4 linked regions of the Saccharomyces cerevisiae S288C genome follow. The gene in region 2 interacts genetically with the main gene of each other region. Each region holds a gene or a part of one and is shown on either strand. Other genes may lie near its edges. The genes, in order: AIM18, UBC8, PDB1 and YGL235W.

Region 1 (8,563 bases), on a different chromosome or scaffold from region 2:
ATATATCAATTATAAAAAAAGTGACAAGCATTATACATACAATTTTTCTTTTTTTTTCATGAAATGTGTAACCAGTGTGCCTCATTAGAGACAGGGACGAGAGAGCAAAGGTGCAATTTCCGCTGCAAATGAACTTTTTTAAACGATGTGCATAAATAAATAAAAAAAATGGCAGAATACTCTAAAATTGAGAAAAGTAATCCCGTAATAACTTTTTGGTTGAATCACCACCATAATGGGAGCAGTCATTGGTGGTCAAGTTCTCCATACGTAATCCTAAATCATTTATGATAGAATTTACGGCGTTTAATATATCGAGTTCCATAAAGGAATAGAAGATAACATGAACCATCTTCGACGGATCAGCTTCCTCTTCTTGCACTTTCTTCACCTCTTTACATTGCACTACATTGGGGATATCGTATTCTCTTTGTGAATTGTGAGGTGTGTCATCACCATGACACCCGAAATCGTCTTCTGTGGTGTAGCCTTCGCTTAAATTTGGATTATTGATGAAGGGACACTTCTGAAAACCGCCAAAATGCTGTTTGTGATGAGACGATGATGGTATTCCTAATGAGGCAATGACAGGGCCCTTGTTCAAATAGGTTTCCACCCTGGAGGCAACGACCAATGGAACTGTGATGAAGCGCCAATCATTATTGAATGGCATCACTATATACTCAGTATCCTTTGTAAATGGGCCTTTGTAAAGATCGTACCTGACAGAGCCAGTGTTAATCAAAATGAAACGACTCATCGAAGGTTCATAGTTTTTGGGAGGAATTAAATTGGGTAAAATCTTATGCGTGATCAAATGATAAAGATTCTCTTCGGAGTTTAATGGCCTTGTTGAAACGTAGTAAGTTTGAGGAATGTACCCCAGTTTCTCGTTCAAATTTAGTTCATGGCGCAGATCATTCACCAAACGAGAAATAGTTTTACCCTTTTTCGTTGAGACTGGAACATTCGAGTCATGCCCTAGTTTGCTCAAATGGTATTTGAAAGCTTCCTTGTTAAAGTCAATATACCTTCTTGAGAAAATAGGACTTTCGGCGTCCACAGGGTCAGTCATATTAATTGACAAGAATCCCACAGTTTCCGCAAATCTACCACTTTGTAAACAAGTAGATTTTGAGTCCAGCTGTACAAAATCCCTGATATGAGTGTGCCCTCCAAAATATTGTATAACAGTATTTGGGTAGTATTTCCTTATTAGAGCATGAATTTTGTGCATTTCACGCTCTGTAGGGTCAGTGGCAGGCAAATGACCAAAGACAATAATTAGGTCGATTTCCTCCTCTCTGTTTGTCTCAACCATATTTTGGAACCAGCTTTTTTGAGTTATTTCTTCCAATGGTGGTGTTACGATGGCTCTGTTATTTGCTCTTTGAAAACTAAACAAAAATGATAATGCCAGGACTCTTTGTTTCATTATGGGAGTCTCGAATGTAATGTATTTATTCCCGAAAGGAACCCTTGTTCCGTCATCTTCAATAAATTCTACGTTGCTGCAAACATATTTGTCTTTGAATTTTGAGGACTGAGAAGTTCCTCTATACTCTAGTATGGCACTTTCAGCTGTATATAGCTCATGATTACCTAACGTTAAAAGATCGTAATCCATCATGTTGAATATCTCCGAGCTTCGTAGGCCGGGGGGCCAAGTAGCATCACTCAAACCATTACCGTCTCGTTTGTCGCCAGTGTCGATGACTATTACGTCTCTGGACTGTCGTAAAATTTTTTCTCTAAGTATATCTACAAATGCAACGAAATCTCCCCAGTCAGCATCATAGTCGTTTTGTGATAGATGGGACCCCAACCAGCCATGAGTATCGGTTGTATGGATAAAATTTATATCCCCTATATGGATATCTCTTAATGGTACATCCTGCGACGGCGCTAAAACTGCCTGTTGTTGTTGATACGGCTTTGCAAAGATTAATCCTGTAAGAGCAACTAAACAGTGTACAAGCTTTAGTATCATTTTACACTGTTGCGCACACCTTTATTGCATTCACTCTCTTTGTTATTGCTGTAGTTCTTGTTGACGGCTTGAGGGGAAATAAGCTTATCGGCTTTTGCAATTGGCGGCTAGTTGGCGAAAGAGCGACTGATCGATAAGGACACTAAAGTAAAAAATAATATTAAAGATATACTGTAGAAATGTTTCATTATGGTTGTAATAATAATTTTACGTCATGCAATGGTTCAGATAGAAAGTTCGAGTTTGCTCTGGAACACAATTGTTTGTTTTCCTGCTTTCAAGTTAGTGCCATCTACTCTCTAACTACGGACGCCTTTACCGAAACCTATCTAGACAAATGTGTCTTTCTTGGAATAATATGAGCGTATATATGATAACGTTCGGGTGAACCTAATGCCTTGGTTCCTTACTCTATTTTGATCACTTCCTTTTTCGTTCGTTTATACATTTTGTTTCTTTTTACCAATATTCAACTTCTGAACACATAGATTTTAATTAAGATACAATTTGGCGAACTTAATTTGCAAACGATTTTACATGTAAGAAATTGTTGTACTGAAATCTTGATGTTAAAAAGTGTATGACTTTTACAACCTTTAGCAAGTATAATGGTTTGTGAAAAGAACCGTAAAATATAATCGTCATCTTAATAAGTTGCTAATGAATGATCACTGAAATTTCTACAGCAACAAAATTTATAACTCAAGTACAGTCGTGTTTTGCTTTCACTACGATCAATAGTATTATTATTACCGATGATTCCACTGTTAGTGTTATTATATTCAAGAGTGTACACTTCTCGCTAAGTAATGAAGAAATTTGCACATCTCATGTGTACACTCATTATACAAGATCACTTTCAACAAGCATTGAGTCACTAGAAAATTACAAATTATTTTCCCAGGAGGTGTAAAATGGCATATGTTTCTGCTGTCCTTGAAAAAAGTATGGAATAACCAGAAGCTTTGATAGAAAACGCCGAGGATAATACTCTGTGTAAAGCTCTAACCTTCATTCATTTTGTCACATTATCCACCTACTTGAATTCTAATTTAGAATACGAGTCGAAATAGTCTCGAAGAATAACTCACAACCTTTTTCCTATTATCTGTATGCTATACATGCCGCTGATTTTTCATTTTTTTCACTTTTAAGAGTAGAAAAAAGAAACGAAGTGTACATAATTAACTAAAGCCACTTGAAACAAATAATCAAAAAGTTCAAAACACCGATTGTTAAGAAAGATGTCGCCTTTGAGAAAGACGGTTCCTGAATTTTTGGCACACTTAAAATCACTGCCAATTTCAAAAATTGCAAGCAACGATGTGTTAACAATATGTGTTGGTAACGAGTCAGCAGATATGGACTCAATTGCTAGTGCAATCACTTATTCGTACTGCCAATACATATATAATGAAGGTACTTACTCGGAGGAGAAAAAGAAAGGAAGCTTTATTGTCCCAATTATCGACATTCCTAGAGAAGACCTCAGTTTAAGAAGAGACGTAATGTATGTCCTAGAAAAACTGAAAATTAAGGAGGAGGAATTATTCTTCATTGAAGATTTAAAGAGCTTGAAGCAAAATGTCTCCCAGGGTACTGAATTAAACTCTTACTTGGTAGATAATAACGATACACCAAAGAATTTGAAAAATTATATAGATAACGTCGTTGGCATTATAGACCACCATTTTGACTTGCAAAAACATTTGGATGCTGAACCTCGGATTGTAAAAGTGTCCGGCAGTTGCTCATCGCTGGTTTTTAACTACTGGTATGAAAAATTGCAAGGTGACCGTGAAGTGGTGATGAACATTGCACCACTTTTGATGGGGGCCATCTTAATAGACACTTCAAATATGAGGCGCAAAGTCGAGGAAAGTGATAAATTAGCTATCGAGAGATGCCAAGCTGTTCTTAGTGGTGCGGTTAATGAAGTGTCTGCGCAAGGTTTAGAGGACAGCAGTGAGTTTTATAAAGAGATAAAATCAAGAAAGAACGATATTAAAGGATTTTCGGTAAGCGATATTCTAAAGAAGGACTACAAACAATTCAATTTCCAAGGAAAGGGACACAAAGGGTTAGAGATTGGTCTTTCATCAATAGTAAAAAGAATGTCTTGGCTATTCAATGAACACGGTGGTGAAGCAGATTTCGTCAACCAATGCAGAAGATTTCAGGCGGAGAGGGGGCTCGATGTATTGGTTCTGTTGACTTCATGGAGGAAAGCTGGTGATTCACACAGAGAATTGGTCATATTGGGAGACTCTAACGTGGTACGTGAACTCATTGAAAGGGTTAGCGACAAGCTCCAACTTCAATTATTTGGGGGCAATCTTGATGGAGGTGTGGCGATGTTTAAGCAACTGAACGTCGAGGCCACCAGAAAGCAAGTCGTCCCCTATTTAGAGGAAGCGTACTCAAACCTGGAAGAGTGAAGGGAGATGTTATATATGCTTTATTTGGTTTATATATGACCCATATAGATATTTTTGTACACTACTATTTGTCTTGGTGTTGTTCAGGCTGTTCAGACTGCTCAGGCTGATCTTGTTGTTGTTGCTGCTGTCTTAACCTTTCCTGTCTTTGCTGCTCTTCTTCCATAGACAGACGCAAGGCCATTGCCAGTTCTGGGTCCATTGATGGGTCTACCCCGAAGTCCATAAATGTGCCATTGGCATCGGAATCACCGCCAGACCCACCAAAGGCGCCCATACCGGAGGATCCTTCTTCGAGAATTATGGGTGAAGATGCGATGTTCTCGTACAGCAGTCTGGGGCCAGGCGTCACAGTAAGCAAATGACTAGTTTCTTCTTGAGGGTTGTTCACTGCAGCTATGAACTCATCCAAAAGCTCCGTGTTCTGTTCAATCTCTCCAAAATTGATGATGTCCACGGCAACATTATTCTTTTTCAGTGTTTTTGCCAATCTGATCAATTCGTCTCGAGAATCACTTATTGGGCTACACACAAATGCCACAATCCTTTGATGTTGGACCTTATTCTGGCGATGCTTCAAAGTCAGCTGAGCGATCTGCAACGCAGTGGCCATATGCAGCTTACCCTCGATCTGCGTGTCGTGTAGTCCAGCAAGAATCTTCCCAAACTCGGCGGTAAACGTAGATAACACCCTGGGGTTGGCGCCAGCACCAGAGATAAGACCCACTGTATTCTCAGGATTGCTGTTTCTCTTGGCTTGAAATATGAACTCTACCGAGTCGATCTGGGCTTCAAACCTTGTCCTAGGAAAGTCGCCATTGCGAGAGTACTCTGAATTATCAATCACTAACACTGTAGCTTCCAATACCATTGTGCGGTTACTGCTGAGTTATTTATTGACTTTTCCCTTCTTTCTTTACGCTTTAAAAGTCTGATATAAGTGTGTATTTAGTTGTAAATTCCGGTGGCGAAAACCCGCCTGGCGGAAATAACCCGGCAGCTATAATGCCATATAACTTCAAGAGAATACAATTGTAAACAAGAAGTGGCAACAACATCAGCAAAAGGGCAGCTGCCGCACTCGGTTACGATGATACCGGCTCTCACTCCCGAAGAACGGCAGAAGTTGCGCAGCGCAATACTACATCGAATGCAGCTGGAACGTATGTCACCTCACCGCAACACTCTACCCCCAACCTTCACCCGCACTAATTACTAACACAACCTCAGTGGAAACAACAGAAAAACTGATCGAAAATATTAAAGAGGAGACGTTAAAGAAACTAAATCTGCTCCAGCAGCCTGATGCAACATCAGCGCCTCAATCAAAGGAACTAATCAGAGAGGTGCTTGAACAGGAAGGACGCCGTATAGAATGATTAGTTCGTATAATGGACCCTTTCTCGGTATTCGCAATGATGCACCTATTACTAATCAGCGGCCGATTTGTTGGTATTAAAGCAGCGTGTGGTTACATCCCCTTGTTGAATACATGTCTACTTAGCAGAAGGCCAGGTATATGGAAACATGCGTTTAATCAGTAAAGTTTTGGTGAAAACAAATTGCCTAGAGGTAGGTATGAGGAGGGCCCCACAATGGTATTCTCACTACTCTACTACAGCGGGCAATGCTCGTGTGAACAAGAAGGGCAGCAAAGTAGTGCCTGTGTTAACAGGGTTAGCACTGGCATCCATATTCGCGAAGAAATGGTATGACGATTCCCAGATCAAAAAGGCGGATGCCACCAGCGTTGCAGTGGACGCATCCATCTCTGCGTTCCCTAAGAAGATGGGCCCCCCACAGTGGCCCTTCTCCACGCAATATGAGCTGATTGGTAAGGGTGTACGTTGTGTCTCATCGATCACTTTCAAAGCATATGGTCTGGGCATATATGTGGCCGCTGAAGACAAACATCTGGTCTCTGAAGTACTGGACTCAAAGTTCCTGTCTCAGGCGTTCATCGACACTGCGGCACCCCCATCACCGGAAAACTCACATCAGGATAATTTGCGTGCGGCTTTGAACGATCCTGCTAAGGCCCCTATCCTGATTAATAACCTCTTAGACAGCGGAATCAGACTAATGTCCAAGAATACTCCGATAAAAGCAGGTTCCTTCAAGTTATTGATGGACGGCACCAAAAAGAGCGTCCTAAAGAACCCAGATTCTCAGTCTCAAGACAAAGACCGGCTGGAAGCTGGATTCCAAGAATTGCATGACTGTTTCAGGAGCGTAAAAGGACTTGTGGCTCGAGATGATGATTTTTTCATTGAGCTGAATAAGGACTGCTCTATGAATTTGTCTTACTACGCAAGAAAGAAGGATGAATTTGTGATATTGGGCACAGTGAAGGAACCCCTTATTGGAAAGCTCTTATTTGCCCACTACCTAGCTGCTGTGGATCCTCCTTCTCCGGAGGCTAGGAAGGAAGTAATCGATGCACTCGTCTCTCTATCTTAGGACACTTTCGCCGACTTCTACATACAATTACATAATACATACGCTGTTCCAAAAGCTGCACATATACTCTAATGATGTTTTTTTGAGTTTCCTTTCGACTCAATTTTTCTAGGAGGGACCCCTCAAAATGTTTACAATGCTATTCGGTTTTGACAAGAAAAAATCAATTCAAAACTCTTACGGCGTTACAACCGCGATAGAATCCCTTCATGGACAGAGGAAGGTGCGCCAATATGCTAAAATCACTCCAGCGAACACTAGCTAAATGTCAGAAATCTCCATCAACCAACCATTGGCAATGTTTCAAAAGAAATTTTACTAGTATACGAGCCACTAAATACCCTGGGCGTTCTAATTCGACGTTCCACTATTGGCCCTGGTTTGCGGCGTCAACATTGCTCGCTACTTCGTTATACTACCGTGATCGTCCGGTACAAAATGACGATAAAACTGATGCTTTTCCTTCTCATACTGAATCGATACAGGTAGACTCTAGCGTATCAGATTTCCCACTAACGATTACTGCTTTAAATTTCCCTGTCTCTACAACTTTTAAATTACTGGGATATGGTCAAAGGCACGTCACGTTTTTGAGGTTCAAGGTCTATGCCTTGGGTCTTTATCTAGCTGAAAATGACGAAAACCTTGTTTCAGACACTCTAAATGAAACTTATTTACATAAATATTTCCTTGATGTGGATGATTCTAAGACTCCTAAGGAGAATCTAGCTAGATTATTGAAACGTGATGACTCAAAATCCGTTATGATGATTGATGACTTACTGGATTCTGGAATGAGAATGCTAGCCAAGATAACTCCCGTAAGGAATACAGATTTTAAGCATCTTAAGGAGGGCCTGGTCAAAACTATTTCTAAACATCCCGATGTGGCCAATAATAAAGACACACTGGCGAAGGGCCTAAGTGAGTTAAATGATGCCTTTTCACGTAAGGGATCCGTCAGGAAAAATGACGATTTGATCATCGAATTATTAGCCAACGGCGCTTTACAATTTTCATATCATGACAGTAAAAACAACGAATTTGAGGTCATGGGAGTAGTTAATAATCAACTCGTCGGAAAATTCTTATTTAGCCAATATTTATGTGGCGAAAAATCTCCTTCTCCACAAGCCAAAAAAACAGCTATCGACAAATTGATCACACTCCTCTAAACTTTTAGAATTTAGTCTTGTTCATACCTCTACACTATTTTCATTCGTAAATGCCTATGTACAATTTTAGCATATGCATACATATATTCTAGTCGAAATATAACCAAACAAAATCTGGTTGATATTATTATTCTTCTTCTTCCTCCTCCTCTTCGTCATCACTTAATTCGATAGCGGGAATTTCAAACTCCTCCTGTTCTTCATCTTCACTGTCCTCCATTGGCTTCTCTTCTTCCTTAGTTTGGCTTACAGCTTTTTTTACAATCAATTCTTCGCCATTATCCACGGTTGTTTCTTCAACGAATTTCACTTTCTTATGTGAAGATGTAGACTCTCTTTCAATGACTTCTTCTACTGACCTTTTCTTGAATATGGCAGTATCATCGACGACCTTTGGGACTTCGTGTTTGGGTTCAGGGATTGTAACATTTTCCAAATTTTCTAACGCTTTTAAAGTCTCCAGGCCAGTATTGGCGTTTGAGGATGATTCGTTCGTTTCA
Region 2 (4,396 bases):
ACTCGCTGTTCAATCTCCTACTTTTCCTTTTGTTGTTAAAATAAGGTATTATATATTTATACAACCCTATAAAAAGCAATTAGCCAATTTCCAATCCTACGAAGACAGGAACTGAGCAAACTATAAGGGTGTTCTTTCTTCTGTACTATATATACATTTGCAACTATGGGTTCATGTTGTAGTTGCTTGAAAGATTCTTCAGACGAGGCCAGTGTCTCACCAATTGCCGATAATGAAAGAGAAGCGGTGACTTTATTACTAGGGTATTTGGAGGATAAAGACCAATTAGACTTTTACTCTGGTGGTCCACTAAAGGCCCTAACTACTTTGGTGTATTCAGATAATCTAAATTTGCAAAGGAGCGCCGCTCTGGCATTCGCAGAAATTACTGAAAAATACGTCCGTCAGGTCTCTAGAGAGGTACTGGAACCCATCTTAATATTATTACAAAGCCAAGATCCACAGATTCAAGTGGCCGCTTGTGCAGCCTTGGGTAATTTGGCCGTTAATAATGAAAATAAATTATTAATTGTGGAAATGGGAGGCTTAGAGCCATTAATAAACCAAATGATGGGTGACAATGTAGAAGTTCAATGTAATGCTGTTGGATGCATTACCAATTTAGCCACAAGGGATGACAATAAACATAAGATTGCTACTTCTGGTGCTTTAATTCCATTGACTAAGCTAGCTAAATCCAAACATATAAGAGTTCAGAGAAATGCTACAGGTGCATTATTAAATATGACACATTCTGAGGAAAATAGAAAAGAATTGGTTAATGCAGGTGCTGTGCCTGTATTGGTATCTTTACTGTCGTCCACCGATCCTGATGTTCAGTACTATTGTACTACTGCTTTATCAAATATAGCAGTGGATGAAGCCAATCGCAAGAAGTTGGCTCAAACTGAGCCAAGATTGGTTTCCAAATTGGTTAGTCTGATGGATTCTCCATCTTCAAGGGTAAAATGTCAAGCTACTTTGGCTTTACGAAACCTAGCGTCCGATACAAGCTACCAATTAGAAATTGTAAGGGCTGGTGGGTTGCCTCATTTGGTAAAGTTGATTCAAAGTGATTCTATACCACTGGTTTTGGCTAGTGTGGCATGCATTAGAAACATTTCTATTCACCCTCTAAATGAAGGTTTAATTGTTGATGCAGGTTTCTTAAAACCATTAGTAAGATTGTTGGACTATAAGGATTCAGAAGAAATTCAATGTCACGCCGTATCTACTTTGAGAAATTTGGCTGCATCATCTGAAAAAAACAGAAAAGAGTTCTTCGAAAGTGGTGCTGTCGAAAAATGTAAGGAACTGGCTCTAGATTCACCTGTTAGTGTTCAAAGTGAAATTTCCGCATGTTTTGCTATTTTAGCCCTAGCAGATGTCTCCAAATTGGATCTACTGGAAGCAAATATCTTAGATGCTTTAATCCCTATGACTTTTTCCCAGAACCAAGAAGTTTCTGGTAATGCTGCTGCTGCTTTGGCAAATCTATGTTCAAGAGTGAATAATTATACAAAAATTATTGAAGCATGGGATCGTCCGAATGAAGGCATTCGTGGATTTCTGATTAGATTTTTGAAAAGTGACTATGCTACCTTTGAACACATTGCGCTATGGACAATTTTACAATTGCTAGAAAGTCATAATGATAAAGTGGAAGATTTGGTTAAAAATGATGACGACATCATTAACGGAGTGAGAAAAATGGCAGATGTGACCTTTGAGCGTTTACAAAGATCAGGAATTGATGTTAAAAATCCGGGGAGCAACAACAATCCAAGCTCGAATGATAACAACAGTAATAACAATGACACAGGATCTGAACATCAACCTGTAGAGGATGCAAGTTTGGAATTGTATAATATTACTCAACAGATTTTACAATTTTTACATTGATTTTCTTCAAAAGCGGGACTAGGCATTATAATTTTTATCAAAATTTTCTTCTCAGAAGTTTTATTTTCTTTCTCTCCATTTCTTCCATCTTTTTAATCTTTGTTTCCTTTTTTTACATCATATTACTTCTACCTACTCTACTCTATTCTAATTTCAATTGATTTTTTTTATTTTATTTTTTTTTTTGTTAATAAAAGAAGAAAAAACTTAAAAACGAATAAGAGGCTGTCTTTGTTCCGTAGTATATGCCTATTTCCTTCTAGAAGTTTGAAGTGTCGTAAATTTTACCTACGGATAATGTTCGTTACATTGTTGAATGGCAACTGTAGTGAGGTAATGTTCAAAAAGTGAGAAAGCGGGAGAGAAGGGCTACATACAAAAACCAATTCTAGATAACATCTATATCTTCGTTTTTAGAATATATTGTAATAAAACACAATTGATAATACAGTTCTCTCTTCGTCCTCTGATGGTGGGAGATCTATTAAAAATACAAGTTAGCTGAGCGGGGGAAAAAAATAGGTCTTACCCGGATTCGAACCGGGGTTGTTCGGATCAAAACCGAAAGTGATAACCACTACACTATAAAACCTCTTAATTATTGATTTCCACAATAATTTTATCATATATCAACACTATTCTTCACATAGTTTTTTTAATCCCGGTGTCTCTCATCTGCTAATGAAAATACGTTCACTCATATTTCATGCACCTTCCAGTAGACTGACCCTTCATAAGGTTAAGAATATCATGGGGAAATTATCGCAATGCATGTCTCTTAAAGAATACAAGAATATATAAAGGCGAATCAACGATTCTTCACGATAATTTGTTTTCCTCTTAATCACACAGCAGTCTGAATTCTATCAGTGGCACATTAATCCTTGTTTCAATGCTCGTGTGCACATCTGCGTAAATATACATTCTTACGTTTTCTTATTTAATAATAGTAGGTTGAGCTTCGTCCACCGGGTAATGCTCCCGGAGCAGTGGAATTAAAAAAAAAAAGGGTGAGCACCGGAAACAGCTATCTGCGCTTAAGTATCACTAACGTAAAGCATAGGTAGGATTTCCAGTTCTGCCACATTTGATAAATAGTGTAATCCGTAATTATCAAGCGAGATAGTTTTCGAATATAATTTAGAAGTAAGAGCAAAATATTAATAGTATTTCATAAGGAATATTGGAAGAAAGGAGCGTAATACGAAAGATGAGGTATGTTTGATAAGATATATACGTATATTTATATATCACTCTTCTGAGAAAGTATGCCATAGAATGAGGATCACTAACAAAGAAAATGTCAATGAACTTCAAAGATATCGTTTAATGAAACAGTAGCTCTAAAAGAAGGATCGAGACAGATGTTATGAAACTGTTGATGAGTGATCATCAAGTGGATTTAATCAATGATAGCATGCAAGAGTTTCATGTAAAGTTCTTGGGACCAAAGGATACACCCTACGAAAATGGGGTTTGGAGGTTACATGTAGAGTTGCCGGATAATTACCCATACAAGTCGCCAAGCATAGGGTTCGTTAACAAGATATTCCATCCTAACATTGATATCGCATCGGGGTCCATATGTTTGGACGTAATTAACTCTACATGGTCGCCTTTATATGATCTGATAAATATAGTGGAGTGGATGATACCAGGTTTATTAAAGGAGCCTAATGGTAGCGATCCCTTGAATAACGAAGCTGCCACATTGCAATTACGAGATAAAAAACTGTATGAGGAAAAAATCAAAGAGTATATAGACAAGTATGCTACAAAGGAAAAGTACCAACAAATGTTTGGCGGAGATAATGATAGCGATGACAGTGATAGCGGCGGTGATTTACAAGAAGAGGACAGTGATTCTGATGAAGATATGGATGGCACTGGTGTTTCCAGTGGCGATGATAGCGTAGATGAGTTAAGCGAGGATCTAAGTGACATAGATGTCAGTGATGACGATGACTACGACGAAGTCGCAAATCAATAATTTCGAGCACACACATATATATATATATATATATATGTATGTATGTATAAGTATATATGATGGCATACTATACCACACGTACGACTATAATTACAAACAACTATCAAGCAACTACAAGGATCTCTGTGGGCTAGTGGCCTGCGGGCTCAATTTTGCTCTTGTTCCTGAACGGTGAATTCTGTAGTCTGTCATCCAGGGGAAGGGCAGGGCACTCATCAACAATGTGATAGTCAGAAAGCAATAATGTTTTGTATTCTGATGAGCTTTCACTATCTCTTCCGCAATACCCCTTTTTGCCTATATTACGGCATCATCTTTCCCCGCGTTCTCGTGGGGGCCAAATAAGCTTTGTCCAAGGGGCTGTTGCAACGGTAAAGGTAGTCGAGCCAAGTGACACCAGCAAACAAGGAAACAAGGAAGCAAGGAAGGCTTTCCATTTTCCAATAACGACATGAGTCTATCTATGGTGTATAAAAGTGGCAGGCTTTTCCTACATTTTTTTTC
Region 3 (8,761 bases), on a different chromosome or scaffold from region 2:
GCCACGTCGTCACCTTCTCTAACGACTCTCATACCTCTACCACCACCACCAAAGGCGGCCTTAATGATCACCGGGTAGCCGTATTCATTAACGAAGTCAAGTGCCTCTTGCACAGTTTCGATAGGTCCTGGAGTACCGGGAACGGTAGGAACGTTAGCTCTTGCTGCCAAGTGTCTGGCAGAGACTTTGTCACCCACAGAGTCAATAACTTCAGCTGGAGGGCCGATCCAAGTGATACCGGCCTTCACTACTTTGTCGGCAAATTCCGAATTTTCAGACAAGAACCCATAACCTGGATGGATGAAATCCACCTTATGCTTCTTTGCAATTTCGATGATCTCGTCCATTGCCAAGTAAGCACCCACAGGTGTATACTGGCCCTCCTCCCCGATAACATACGCTTCGTCCGCCTTCAACCTGTGCATTGAAAGACGGTCCTCATGGGAGTATATGGCGATGGTTCTCATAGACAGCTCATGAGCAGATCTAAAAATTCTAATCGGAATTTCACCTCTATTGGCGACCAAGATCTTATTCTTTTCGCCGAGCAAACTGAAATTGTCCCTAAGACCGGCCAATTTCTTGCTACTGCTCATATTTTATTTTGTTCTCTATGTCCCTTATTTTCTCTCCTAGTAACTGTCCTTTATTTTGCAATATAGTAATTGGCAAAAAAATCAAACTCAAATGACGGGCCACAGATAGTAAGCTACAAGAGTTTGGAAGAAAAGAGGGGCTTGTTTATGTATGTAATCAAGTAAGGATACCGAAAGTAAGAGAAAAGAAAAAAGGACTAAAAATCACAGAAACACAATAGGAAATATCCGATGGGGAGTACTTCTTACTTAACACTCCCTGCGCCAATTCTGACTCTTATAATAAATAGCTCGAGACGTAACTGCCAAAATTGTAAAAAAAAAATGAAAAACTATTAGAAAATTAATTGCGAAAAAAAAAAGGTTAGTCATATGTGCCTTTGCGGCGTCTTCCGCAGGAAGGACCCCTCTCTGCCAATCACAGAAGAGCTGGCTGTGCCTGTGCGGTACGCTATCAGCAGCTGCGTCGGGTAAGGGACACGTCGTTAGTGACAATCGTGGTTAGTTTTCGTACAGAAAGATGACCTTAATTGATAATTAAAGTATAGAAATGTCGTATAGTATATTTTTCCCTTGCATGGAAAAAACTGGGATAATGTGATGATTCTCATTAACAGATTTACACTGGTATTGATACTCATTTTGTTTCTGCTTCCTGTAGTACATAAAAAGATCTTGTAAATATTACGATACTCGTTAAAATTTTCTTGAACGTAATGTCGTACAATTCTTGTTTGAGGGGTCGTTACGTACATCTCCAGGAACTGATTGGCAGACTTTGTAAATGGAGGATTTTCCTTTTCAAATATCCAAAATATAGGAAAAGTCCGACTACAATACATATGAGATTGGTGATGTAATAGCCGTCACGCAGGATGGTCACGGTGCCATTCAAAAGCTCGGTGCACGCTTGCATGCTGCCGCCGTGAGTTACGTATACTTTATTTGTGCCAGGAATAGTGCACTGATACACGGTGAAGTAGTTGATCATGGACATAATGATTAACCGCGGCCATGTCCCACCGAAGTTGCTGAGGGTATTTAACAATGTCATATATGTGCCACCCAGCACGGGGTCTGCAACTCTTGTATGGAAGGCCGATATTCCAATGAACTGGACAGTATTCATGAAGGAACCTAAGAGGTGCTGGAATATCACGAGACAAAAATAACCCGTGGATATTTCACCATCCTTGGGGAATTGCTTCACCACGTAACTTCCCAAGACCGCGGCTGCCAGACGGCCCAAAAAGCCCCACAACCATGGTGTTAAAACGCCGGCATCCCCAACTAAGAACTTGATGACCTTGTTGGTGCCCGTGCTGTTTCTTAATCTTCTATTGTCACGAATCATGGGGTCCTTGTCGGAGCTCCATTTAACAACATAGTACCCAAATATGATTTCGAACGGCAGGTCTATGAGTACTGTCACAGCCAAGTCTTCTCTTTTGAAGCCTTGCTCTAGTAGTTTCAGGTTTGTGGCGGCTTCGTTGCATTGAAAGGCAAATTTCGAAATCATGTGAATGAAGGCTAGGCTTCTTACGGACTTCAATTTCAACACTTTTATAAAGCAGCGGTAAATGTACTTTATACTGCTTGTATTCTGAGTTGACACCACATCACCGTCGTCATACTCAATACTTATCGGCTTTGACCCTCCGTCACTTGTATTTATGGGCTCCACTTTGGGCAAATACTCTACGTAGGGTTTTTCCTTGGTGCAAAAGATGATATATATGGTTATTACAATGTAAAGCATGCCCGAGAATTTCATGTACCCACCAAGACTAATGAACCCGTGATCCAGTGGGATGTTTCTGAAATACTTATTGGCGAAATCAGAGGAATTCAACGACAGGAAAATGGTAAATGACATAAAATAACCAATATTCAAACCTATTGTTTGCGCGGTAGATGCATATGATAGGGATTCTTTGGACAAAATCGTCAACGCCCAACCATCAACTGCGATGTCTTGAGTGGCACACAGAAAAACTAACAGGCCAAACCACCACGTCAAATTTTTTATACTGACACTGTGTAAAGTGCCATTACCGCGATTATGGAACGCATCGTCGACACCATCGAAGATTATGCCTTGTGATATGCACCACCCTAATGCCCATAGCACAAATCCACTAACAAATTGTACTGGAATGATCCATGATCTTCTTCTACCGATGCGCTTGTTGTACAGTGAGTCTACTATTGGTGACCATATGATCTTTAAAGAATATGGATATGTAGCCATAGAGAAAATTCCCAGTGATGTAAACGAGGTCTCCTTTGCTAAAGATTTCAGTAGAAACGGTACGGTACCGAAGGCCAATCCTACAGGTATGCCTTGAGCCAAATATAACATAATTAAAAGATAAAATTGCGGCAAATCATGCTTGGCTAGTGACCCGCTCTTTCGCTTAGGTTCCATGCCTACTTTTGTTTTATCCCCCTATAACTATGGTATATTATACTGCCTCACCAAACGTTTAGGTCTTGCTTCTGCTTCCCACAGTAGCTTACGCATTATAGCCGATTTATTTTTCACTTATTTTCGCATGCCAGAGTATCTTTATTTTCTTTCTTTCATTCAGCCTGTCGTCGAAAAGAAAAAAAAGAAAATAAATATGTGCGTATTCTAACCATGAAACAGGAACTCATTCAATGTGCACAGTACTTATCTCATTCAATTTTGTAAAAACAAAATATATACATTGTATGTATGTGTGTATTTGCAGTTATATATCTACTAATAACCAGTACGCCATACATGTCTTGATTAGCAAAATATTATTTATGTTTTTCTCATTAGTACTATTTCCGCGAAGAGGGTAGAAAGTGTAGGGTACAGGGAAAAAAGTTCCCTATCTCCTTCTTTCTCTCCTTCCTATTGGATTGAAGTTTATTTATTCAATTGACAAGACTTCTTTGACAGCTTTAACGATGGTTGGAGTATCAGGGAAAGCGAAATCTTCTAATTCTTTAGCGTAAGGTGTTGGAACATCGGCACCAGTAACTCTTTGGATTGGAGCATCCAAGTAATCAAAGGCTTCAGACTCCATAACTTGGGCGACAATTTCAGCACCAACACCAAATGATGGGAAAGTGGATTCAACAGTAATCAAGTGGTTTGTCTTCTTGACAGTTTTGATGATAGCTTCAGTATCTAAAGGTCTAATAGAACGCAAGTTGATAACTTCTGCAGAGACACCATATTTCTTTTGTAGAATTTCAGCGGCTTCCAAAGAAAACTGAACGTTTCTTGTGTACGTAACAATGGAAATATCGGTACCTTCTCTTTCGATCTTAGCCTTGTATGGCAAGGTGAACTCAGGGGATAAAGCTTCTTCTGAGATTTCAAAAGATTCACCGTACAACAATTCGTTCTCTAAAAATACAACAGGGTTTGGATCTCTGATGGCGGCCTTTAACAAACCCCTAGCATCTTCAGCAGAATAAGGGACAAGGACCTTTAACCCTGGAATGGAACCGTACCAAGGAGAAAAGTCCTGTGAATGTTGAGCACCAACACCCACTGCAGCACCATTAGGACCTCTGAAGACCATTTGACATTTTTGAGTACCACCAGACATGTAGTGAGTCTTTGCAGCGGAATTGACAACATGATCGATAGCTTGCATAGAGAAATTGAACGACATAAACTCTACAATTGGCTTCAAACCCTTCAAAGCGGCACCAACGGCCAAACCTGTGAACCCGTATTCGGTAATAGGTGTGTCAACCACACGACGTTCACCGAACCTGTCCAATAAACCCTTTGACACCTTATAAGCCCCGTTATATTGTGCAACTTCTTCACCAATAAGGAAGACATCATCATCACGGTCCAATTCTTCCGCCATGGCACTATTCAAGGCCTCTCTGACGGTCATCGTCTTTGTTGATGAGAATCTCAATGCTGCTGCTGCTGCAGAGGGTCTTACAAAAGAAGTTGGGGCACGACGTGCAACATTTCTGGCCAATGATGTTGGCAGTCTGGAAAACATGTTGAACAAAATTATTGCAAAAGTAAAAGAACTTACTAAACTGCGATCGATTATCAATGAACAAACACAGGAACTGTTATGAGGGAGGCGGAATTTAACGTCCGAGTGTGTAAATGATACTAAATTAGTCTAACAAAAGGAAGAAACTTGACAGAGATAATATCAAGAGTCGCTGTTGCAATCGTTAACCTGTATATGTAGATACACCTCTTTTTATTGCAAACGTGCAAACGCATGACTTTTAATGACGGAGAACTTCTTAGTTGAAGACTCGTCTCTTTTGCATGTTCTCCCACTTCGAAGTCTCGGAAAACAGACCCCGGAAACAGCCGCGACGAAAAAGAATCAGCTTAGGCATGATAAATACTGTGGTTTCATTAGATAGATAAAATACATAAGTATTGGCGTATATAAACGGGTGCCAGATAGAAGCTTTCAGAGAGCATAAAATTGTACAGGATACTGCCTACAACTTACTCTTATTTCTGCTGCTCTTAGCAAAAGTTTCTGCGATAACTCTTCTCTGGATTTTACCTGTAGCGGTTTTTGGTAGCTTATCAACAAAGTACACCTTGGTTGGAATTTTGAAAGAGGCTAGGTGCTTCTTTAAGAAGTTCACCAGTTCTTCGTAGGTCATTTTTTCTCCCTTCTTCAAAACAATGGCGGCTTGAACTACTTGGCCGTACATATCGTCGGGAACACCAAATGCAACGGCTTCATCGATCTTTGGATGCGATAGCATAATGCCGTCGAGCTCAATGGGTGAAATCTTTTCACCACCCCTGTTGATAAGCTCTTTGATTCTGCCTGTAAGGACCAAAAACCCCTCAGGGTCGAAATAACCTTGGTCACCGGTTCTGAAATAGTTCTCTCTCTTGGTGAAGTTCTCCTTGTTAGCTTTTGGATTATTAGCATACCCCAAAGTGACGTTTTCGCCTCTGATGGAAACTTCGCCGACTTTGCCCGGGGGCAAGACATTGTCATTGTCATCTAGAATGACGACGGTGACTCCTTGTGGCTGGCCCACAGTACCAGGCTTTCTCTTTCCTGGAGGCAGATTGTTTGAGGTCATTTGATGTGATGCTTCGGTCATCGCATAGGCCTCCAAGACAGGTGCATTGAATTCCTTCTCCAGCTTATGGAACGTTGCTGGAGCCAAAGCAGAAGAACACGATCTGATGAATCTAATGTGTGGGAAAGGGTTTGGTTTGGGCATGTTCAGCATAATCATGCTTATTGTGGGAACGCAACTGAACCAATTACAGTTGTACTTAACAAATTGGTCCCAGAATAACTTTGGATGGAATCCATCGGGAACCACAACAGAACCCTGAGTTCTAAAAGTGGAAAGTAAAACACCAATTAACCCATGGACGTGGAAAAGAGGCATCACGACATAAGATCTGTCCAAGGGCGTTAGCTTGTAAGTGTTAGCAATGTTCAACGTGCTTCTCACAATGTTCAAATGTAACAAAGGCACCGTTTTTGGAGTGGAGGTGGTACCACTGGTATGCAAAATCAGGGCAACGTCACTGGAACGGGCAAACCCAGGGAATTTAACGGGATTTGTGTTGACAAATTTGGCGTTGTTCAAAGACCGGTAAATAACCCTTTTGTAGTTGTCCTCTGGAGAGTATATATCATACTCTACCCTAAACCTGGTCGCATCGAAGGCCAGCTCTACGATAAAACATCCAAACGTGGAGGCAGATTTTAGAATTTCAGAACTCTGTAACTTTGTGGTACCCTTTGGGACGCAAATCGCCTTAGATTTCAGGTCATTCAAATAAAAATTGAACTCCTTTTCCTTATAATTGGGATTCAAGGGCGCGCCAATTTTAGCGTCCATAGTAGCACCGAGGAAAGCGACGATAAATTCCAGCCCATTACGCATGGATATCGCCACTGTATCTTGTCTGAAAACAGCTCCGTACAATGGAGAATTAGGATTTGTGAACATGGTCTGGAAGTGACCCACCATGTGGGATAGATCCCTGTAGGTCACCTGAGTGTCCGTTTCAGGAACAATAACGGCGACATTATCGGATACGCTAAAAGTATCGTTGAACGAAGCAGTAACAGTAGCGGCACTTGTCATTGTAGCAAAAATGTGCGTGAAGCGTCTAACCTCTTGCAGCACAGTGGGAGTAAATTTCAAGAAGGAGCATCTATTAAAAAGAGCTTTTAATCATACCATCTCTATTTATATACAGTTAATCTTGAAAAATAAAAAAAGACCGAATAAAGGACTCGGAAGCTTTAGCTCGGAATAGTTAAAGACGCTTTCGGCCCGAGAAAAAAATATTCTGAGCACCAAAATCCAATCGCCTGAAGTTTATCAAGTAAATTTGCCATTCCTGGCCCCATATAGTGATGCCTAAGTGGACAGCAACATCGCGCTCTTACTTGTTAGTCGTTCTCATGACGAGCAAGGCAAAAGCACTCGTCCTCAGCTAAGTCGTATGGTATGACTGGCAGCGTGAATGGCACGGCCACATGGGTGGGATTACCCGCGCAGCCTCTACGGTCACGTGTAAAAGTACGGCACGTGACCTTCCTGGTATTTGCTAACCTGCGACTATGGTAAAGCACTCCTGCTTCATAATTGCGTGGTTTTCTTGAAACGGTGCCCCATGCTGTTTGGCTGAGGTTTGCCGAAGTATAAAGGCACCATTCTAGTTCTTTAAATACCTGCGATGCATCACAGGGCCCTGCGGAGTTTGTTGCACAATGCATGTAAAACTTAGAGTGCGCGGGCGTCGTCCCTCGTCTTCTAGTAACCATAGCAGGGTCTTGCTTGTAAAATACTTTGAACTTGTTTCGCAGCATTTCGTAGTAGCTCTTTTTCTGAAGATATTGAAAATGAAACCACCCGGAACTGGACCACTTTAAGGGACTGGTGACAAACTCTTGTTCGGTGGGGAAAATAATGTACGGCTTGATTTTTCTCTGCGAATATTCATTAATCAATGAATTCGTTGGCAGTATTTCTGCTTTCTTCCTCCCAGCGGTGTCCTTTGCTGGAGGGGACATGATTCCGGTAAACAGAGGAATCATTAGATGTGTCCATAAGTTTTCGTCTCGCGCTCTTGATAGAGATGTCCCTATGGATGAAGTTTGACATAGATAATGTTTTGCAGTATCACTAGCACTTGTGCCAGCAGAAAGTTTTTCTAGTTTATTGTAAAACGACAGTAAACCCGACGACTGAAATTTGGAGGGCGTAGAATATACAAATTCTAATTCGCTCAAAGGAGCAAAGTTAACTTCCTCTACGCTTTTTGTAATCAATTCGTCAATGTCTTTCAGGTGGTACGAATTGAGGTATTCTATCAAGCTTCTCTTAAACGGTACTGGTAGCCCTTCTTTACCTATTTTCAAAAGGGGACTGCACCAACACACCTGTTGAGGCAGGTTAGTCTCCATTGACGTAAAATTGTTAGATGGCAAGAATATTTTGCATTCGCCATTATCGTAAAAGTTTATGATCAGCTTCGTATGGTGGGAAGCGAATGGGGGCATCGTTATTTCAATAAGTTTGACCTTTTTTAATATTACTGCCAGTGTCGCGTCCATAGCACGGGCTTCGATAGGCATAATAGTACCCTTTTGGCCGACGATGGTTATGTTCTCTACGTTCTGGTGGAATTGTCTCAACAAGAAATCAAGTTCGTATTGGAAACTGAAGAGTATGCTTCTTTTTAGTGTCTCAGTGCCAAAGATATCTTTCAATGTAATCATATCCTCTACTTCTCCCATAAAATCCTCTCTTTCATAGAAGTCCGATTTCATTAGTTTAAAAACGGCACCTTTTGCCGTATCGTTTGTTTCTATTCTCTCACTCAAATCTTGTTCCTGATTAGTCAAATCAATGATTTTCGATTCACTGACTATGACGCAGTCGTCGCTATCATTGTTACTGTTGACCGGAGCCATATTCTCCATTTCAGCACTATACCTGACGCTCTTCCACCGTTGTGCTACTTTCTCGGCAACATCCGACCTCTTCCTCTTAGTTCCATTGAAATTTGTTTCTCGTGACATTAATGATCGGTTGAAAACACATTATCATCATTCTTGTCTGGGCTCACCGTTTCTCTGCATTATTTTCCTCTTTATAAGCCCTTTATTAAATTACCATTTTCGCAGTTTAGTGCGGCC
Region 4 (2,978 bases), on a different chromosome or scaffold from region 2:
TCTTCATTTGTAACCCGTTGATCTTCGCCTCTTGGAGAAGGCGCTTTTCCCATATCCAAGGGCATCTCTATGGGCTTCTCTTGAAGAGAGGGACTGCGTGAAGCTGCTGCCGTTGATGTTGCAGCCGCTGTATCAGATTGCAGATCTGTTTCTAATGGATGAAATTTCGCATCCGTTTCGTCTGCTGACATGGCGTTCTTGTTCCTCTTCCAAAAAGAAATGCTTTTCCAAATACAGATGCGATTAGTAAATCAAATTATAAACGACAGTGAGTTGCCCTTTTGCAAGTACCTTCAACACAAACACTTTATTTATTCATCGAGGTCCCCTTGTAAGGGAGAATTAATGTTACGATACAAGAAGTTTTCCGGGTAAGATTGCTAAATAACGAATTTGATGGTTACATACAATGAATTATTTACATATACAAGCTAACGATTAAAGGATATTTACATGACTGGTTGGCTTGGCTTCCGTGCCACACGGTAGAGTTCAAATAGGGCTGCCGCAGTGATACCTTGAATCCGTCTTGCTTGGCCTATGGTCAATGGCTGTACGCGGTTCAAGAGTAGTTTGCATTCAGTGGAAAGCGTGGGTAACTGACGGTAATCGTAATCTTGCGGCAACAGCATATTTTCGTCTGCCTGAAATGCCTTCACAAACTGGTTCTGTTTGACAATGTAAGGTTCGTATTTACCTTGAATGTTAATTTTGGTGACAACATGCATTGGGATGTCCAGCAAATTAATGGGTAAATCGGGAATGCACTCGTAGAGTTTATGTAGATCCATATCTTTGAATCTGAATATTTCCCAAGCAGATCTGTTTTCAGCCTGTGGCGCGATATTAGCCTGTAGTAAGCTAGACCATTTTTGAGAGCTTAGCTTGAAATTTTGAAGCGCCCGTATTGTTTCATCATATAGGTGCTTGTCTCTTGAATATTGACTTAAACGGACAGGAGATATAATCCCTAGTTGAGCACCAATGGGCGTCAGTCTGAAGTCTGCGTTATCGGCTCTTACGCTGATTCTGAATTCTGATCTGGAAGTAAACATTCTATATGGTTCTATGACGCCATTATTGATTAGATCGTCAATGAGCACACCAATGTACGCTTCGGACCTTTTCAAGACCAATTGCTCCCGTTCTTGGCGCGATAGTAATCCTGCATTGATACCTGCAATGATCCCCTGTGCAGCGGCTTCCTCGTAGCCTGTAGTACCATTTATTTGTCCGGCCAAGAATAGTCCATCCACCAATTTTGTTTCCAAGCTAGGCTTTAATTGCCGTGGGTCTACGTAGTCGTATTCCACGCCGTATGCCGGCTGCAAGATCTCAACGTTTGCCATGCCCGGGATGAGCCTCATCATTTGTAACTGGACATCCTCAGGCATAGAATTGGATATCCCGTTCGGATAAATGACGTCGGAGTTGAAACCTTCTGGTTCCAACCATATCTTATGGGAAGATCTATCAGGAAACCTTAGAATCTTAGCTTCGATGGAGGGACAATAGCGGGGGCCTTTGATGGTCGTGTCCTGAATATGAATGGATTGATGCAAGTTATTGCGCAAAAAGTCGTGCATTTGAGGTGTGGTATGTGTGCCAAAGCAATCCAGTTGCTTCGTGGGTTCGACTGACACGGTTTCATTCAGAAAACTCATAGGGACAGGCAACGCATCTCCCTTCTGGACCTCCAGAGCGCTGAAATCAATGGATTCCTTGGCCAGCCTAGCCGGAGTGCCTGTTTTCAAACGCCCTAACTGAAAGCCCACCTCATTTTGTAGAGTATTGCTGATCCCATATGTTGGCTGCTCGCCAATTCTTCCTGCTGCAATACGCTTGTCGCCGATGTGAATTTCTGCACTGAGAAACGTACCTGTAGTGATTATGACCTGATCTGCCCCAACCTGGGTACCGTCATCCAGAACCACACCTTTGATGACCTTGTGGCCACATCCGGGGTCATACAAGATCAAGTCAGCAACTTTGTTCTGCAGCAGAGACAAGTTGGGGTGTGCTTTCTTGTCGGAAAGTTCCCTTTGCATGTATTTCTTATATAACTCTCTGTCTATCTGGGCTCTGGGCCCCCACACAGCAGGACCCTTGCTTCTGTTCAGCATTTTGAATTGCACTCCAGCGAGATCAGTTACTTTGCCCATCAGCCCATCGAGAGCGTCGATTTCCTTTACAAGGATGCCCTTACCCACTCCACCAATAGAGGGGTTGCACGAACACTTACCAATATCTGTTAACGATGGTGTAATGAGAGTAGTATGCGCACCAGTCCTAGATGACGCAGCTGCAGCTTCGCAGCCTGCATGTCCAGCACCGATGACCACGACCTGTGTCTTGGTTGTGGGTTGGAAGCTTGTCAAAGAAGATATGGTCAACCGCCTCCTGAGGACCTGTAAGGGAAATGAAGTACACGAAGACGCCAAGGTTGTTACACGCAGCATCGTTCTTTGGGGCGTTTAGCTGGTATTCTGCAGAAACTATTGGATGCCCTCAAGATTTAAGTGAAGAATTAAACCGCACTTATCCGTCTGTGAAAGATGCCACCATACGTTACCAACCATAAAGAAAGTGGCCGCACACAGGTACCTTAGAGAAGCCACAAGGGCTCGATTACACGGTGGCGATCAAGAGCCATACAAAAGTAGAAGACCCCCGGATGAAGAAGCACCTCTTTGTACGTTCCTTCTGCAACGCCATATCTAAGTAACAAGAAAGAAGCCACAGCATTACTACAACCCCACACAGGGACAGACAGATATCATAAACTTGAATCTACTATATCATACTCTAATAACTACCTAAGCGTTAAGAAATCGTCTAATCTTCAACTGCCGTTGTTCATACCGTGACTAATAGTGGCAGTAAGCAGCTTTTTTTTTTTTTCAAAATTTTTCATTTTTTTTTTCAGTTGACTCGCCCCGTCGGTAGTGACAAGTGCCGACTGACTCGTGTCCTGGTAA

What was found.
Region 1: mutations in UBC8 (region 2) and AIM18 together harm fitness more than expected from each alone (negative genetic interaction), as found in Saccharomyces cerevisiae (2 studies listed by BioGRID).
Region 3: mutations in UBC8 (region 2) and PDB1 together harm fitness more than expected from each alone (negative genetic interaction), as found in Saccharomyces cerevisiae (2 studies listed by BioGRID).
Region 4: mutations in UBC8 (region 2) and YGL235W together harm fitness more than expected from each alone (negative genetic interaction), as found in Saccharomyces cerevisiae (2 studies listed by BioGRID).

What each region holds. Positions count from the first base shown.
Region 1 is NC_001140.6:495,815-504,377, reverse strand, and holds AIM18 (Aim18p), read left to right. Parts: upstream 1-7,097; coding exon 7,098-8,063; downstream 8,064-8,563. Other genes in the region: SMN1 (Smn1p), read right to left, coding at 182-1,990; PPX1 (exopolyphosphatase), read left to right, coding at 3,235-4,428; proteasome regulatory particle base subunit RPN10, read right to left, coding at 4,493-5,299; NBL1 (borealin), read left to right, coding at 5,519-5,591, 5,659-5,807; AIM46 (Aim46p), read left to right, coding at 5,956-6,888; RIX1 (Rix1p), read right to left, coding at 8,191-8,563.
Region 2 is NC_001137.3:128,660-133,055, forward strand, and holds UBC8 (E2 ubiquitin-conjugating protein UBC8), read left to right. Parts: upstream 1-3,112; coding exon 3,113-3,117; intron 3,118-3,240; coding exon 3,241-3,892; downstream 3,893-4,396. Other genes in the region: protein anchor VAC8, read left to right, coding at 166-1,902. UniProt on the Saccharomyces cerevisiae protein: Catalyzes the covalent attachment of ubiquitin to other proteins. Required for the adaptation to the presence of glucose in the growth medium; mediates the degradation of enzymes involved in gluconeogenesis when cells are shifted to glucose-containing medium.
Region 3 is NC_001134.8:661,654-670,414, forward strand, and holds PDB1 (pyruvate dehydrogenase (acetyl-transferring) subunit E1 beta), read right to left. Parts: upstream 4,601-8,761; coding exon 3,500-4,600; downstream 1-3,499. Other genes in the region: PYC2 (pyruvate carboxylase 2), read right to left, coding at 1-596; YBR219C (uncharacterized protein), read right to left, coding at 846-928, 1,350-1,650; YBR220C (uncharacterized protein), read right to left, coding at 1,342-3,024; YBR221W-A (uncharacterized protein), read left to right, coding at 4,885-4,989; PCS60 (Pcs60p), read right to left, coding at 5,067-6,698; TDP1 (tyrosyl-DNA phosphodiesterase 1), read right to left, coding at 7,010-8,644. UniProt on the Saccharomyces cerevisiae protein: The pyruvate dehydrogenase complex catalyzes the overall conversion of pyruvate to acetyl-CoA and CO(2).
Region 4 is NC_001139.9:53,338-56,315, forward strand, and holds YGL235W (uncharacterized protein), read left to right. Parts: upstream 1-1,941; coding exon 1,942-2,478; downstream 2,479-2,978. Other genes in the region: transcription activator HAP2, read right to left, coding at 1-191; tRNA modification protein MTO1, read right to left, coding at 450-2,459.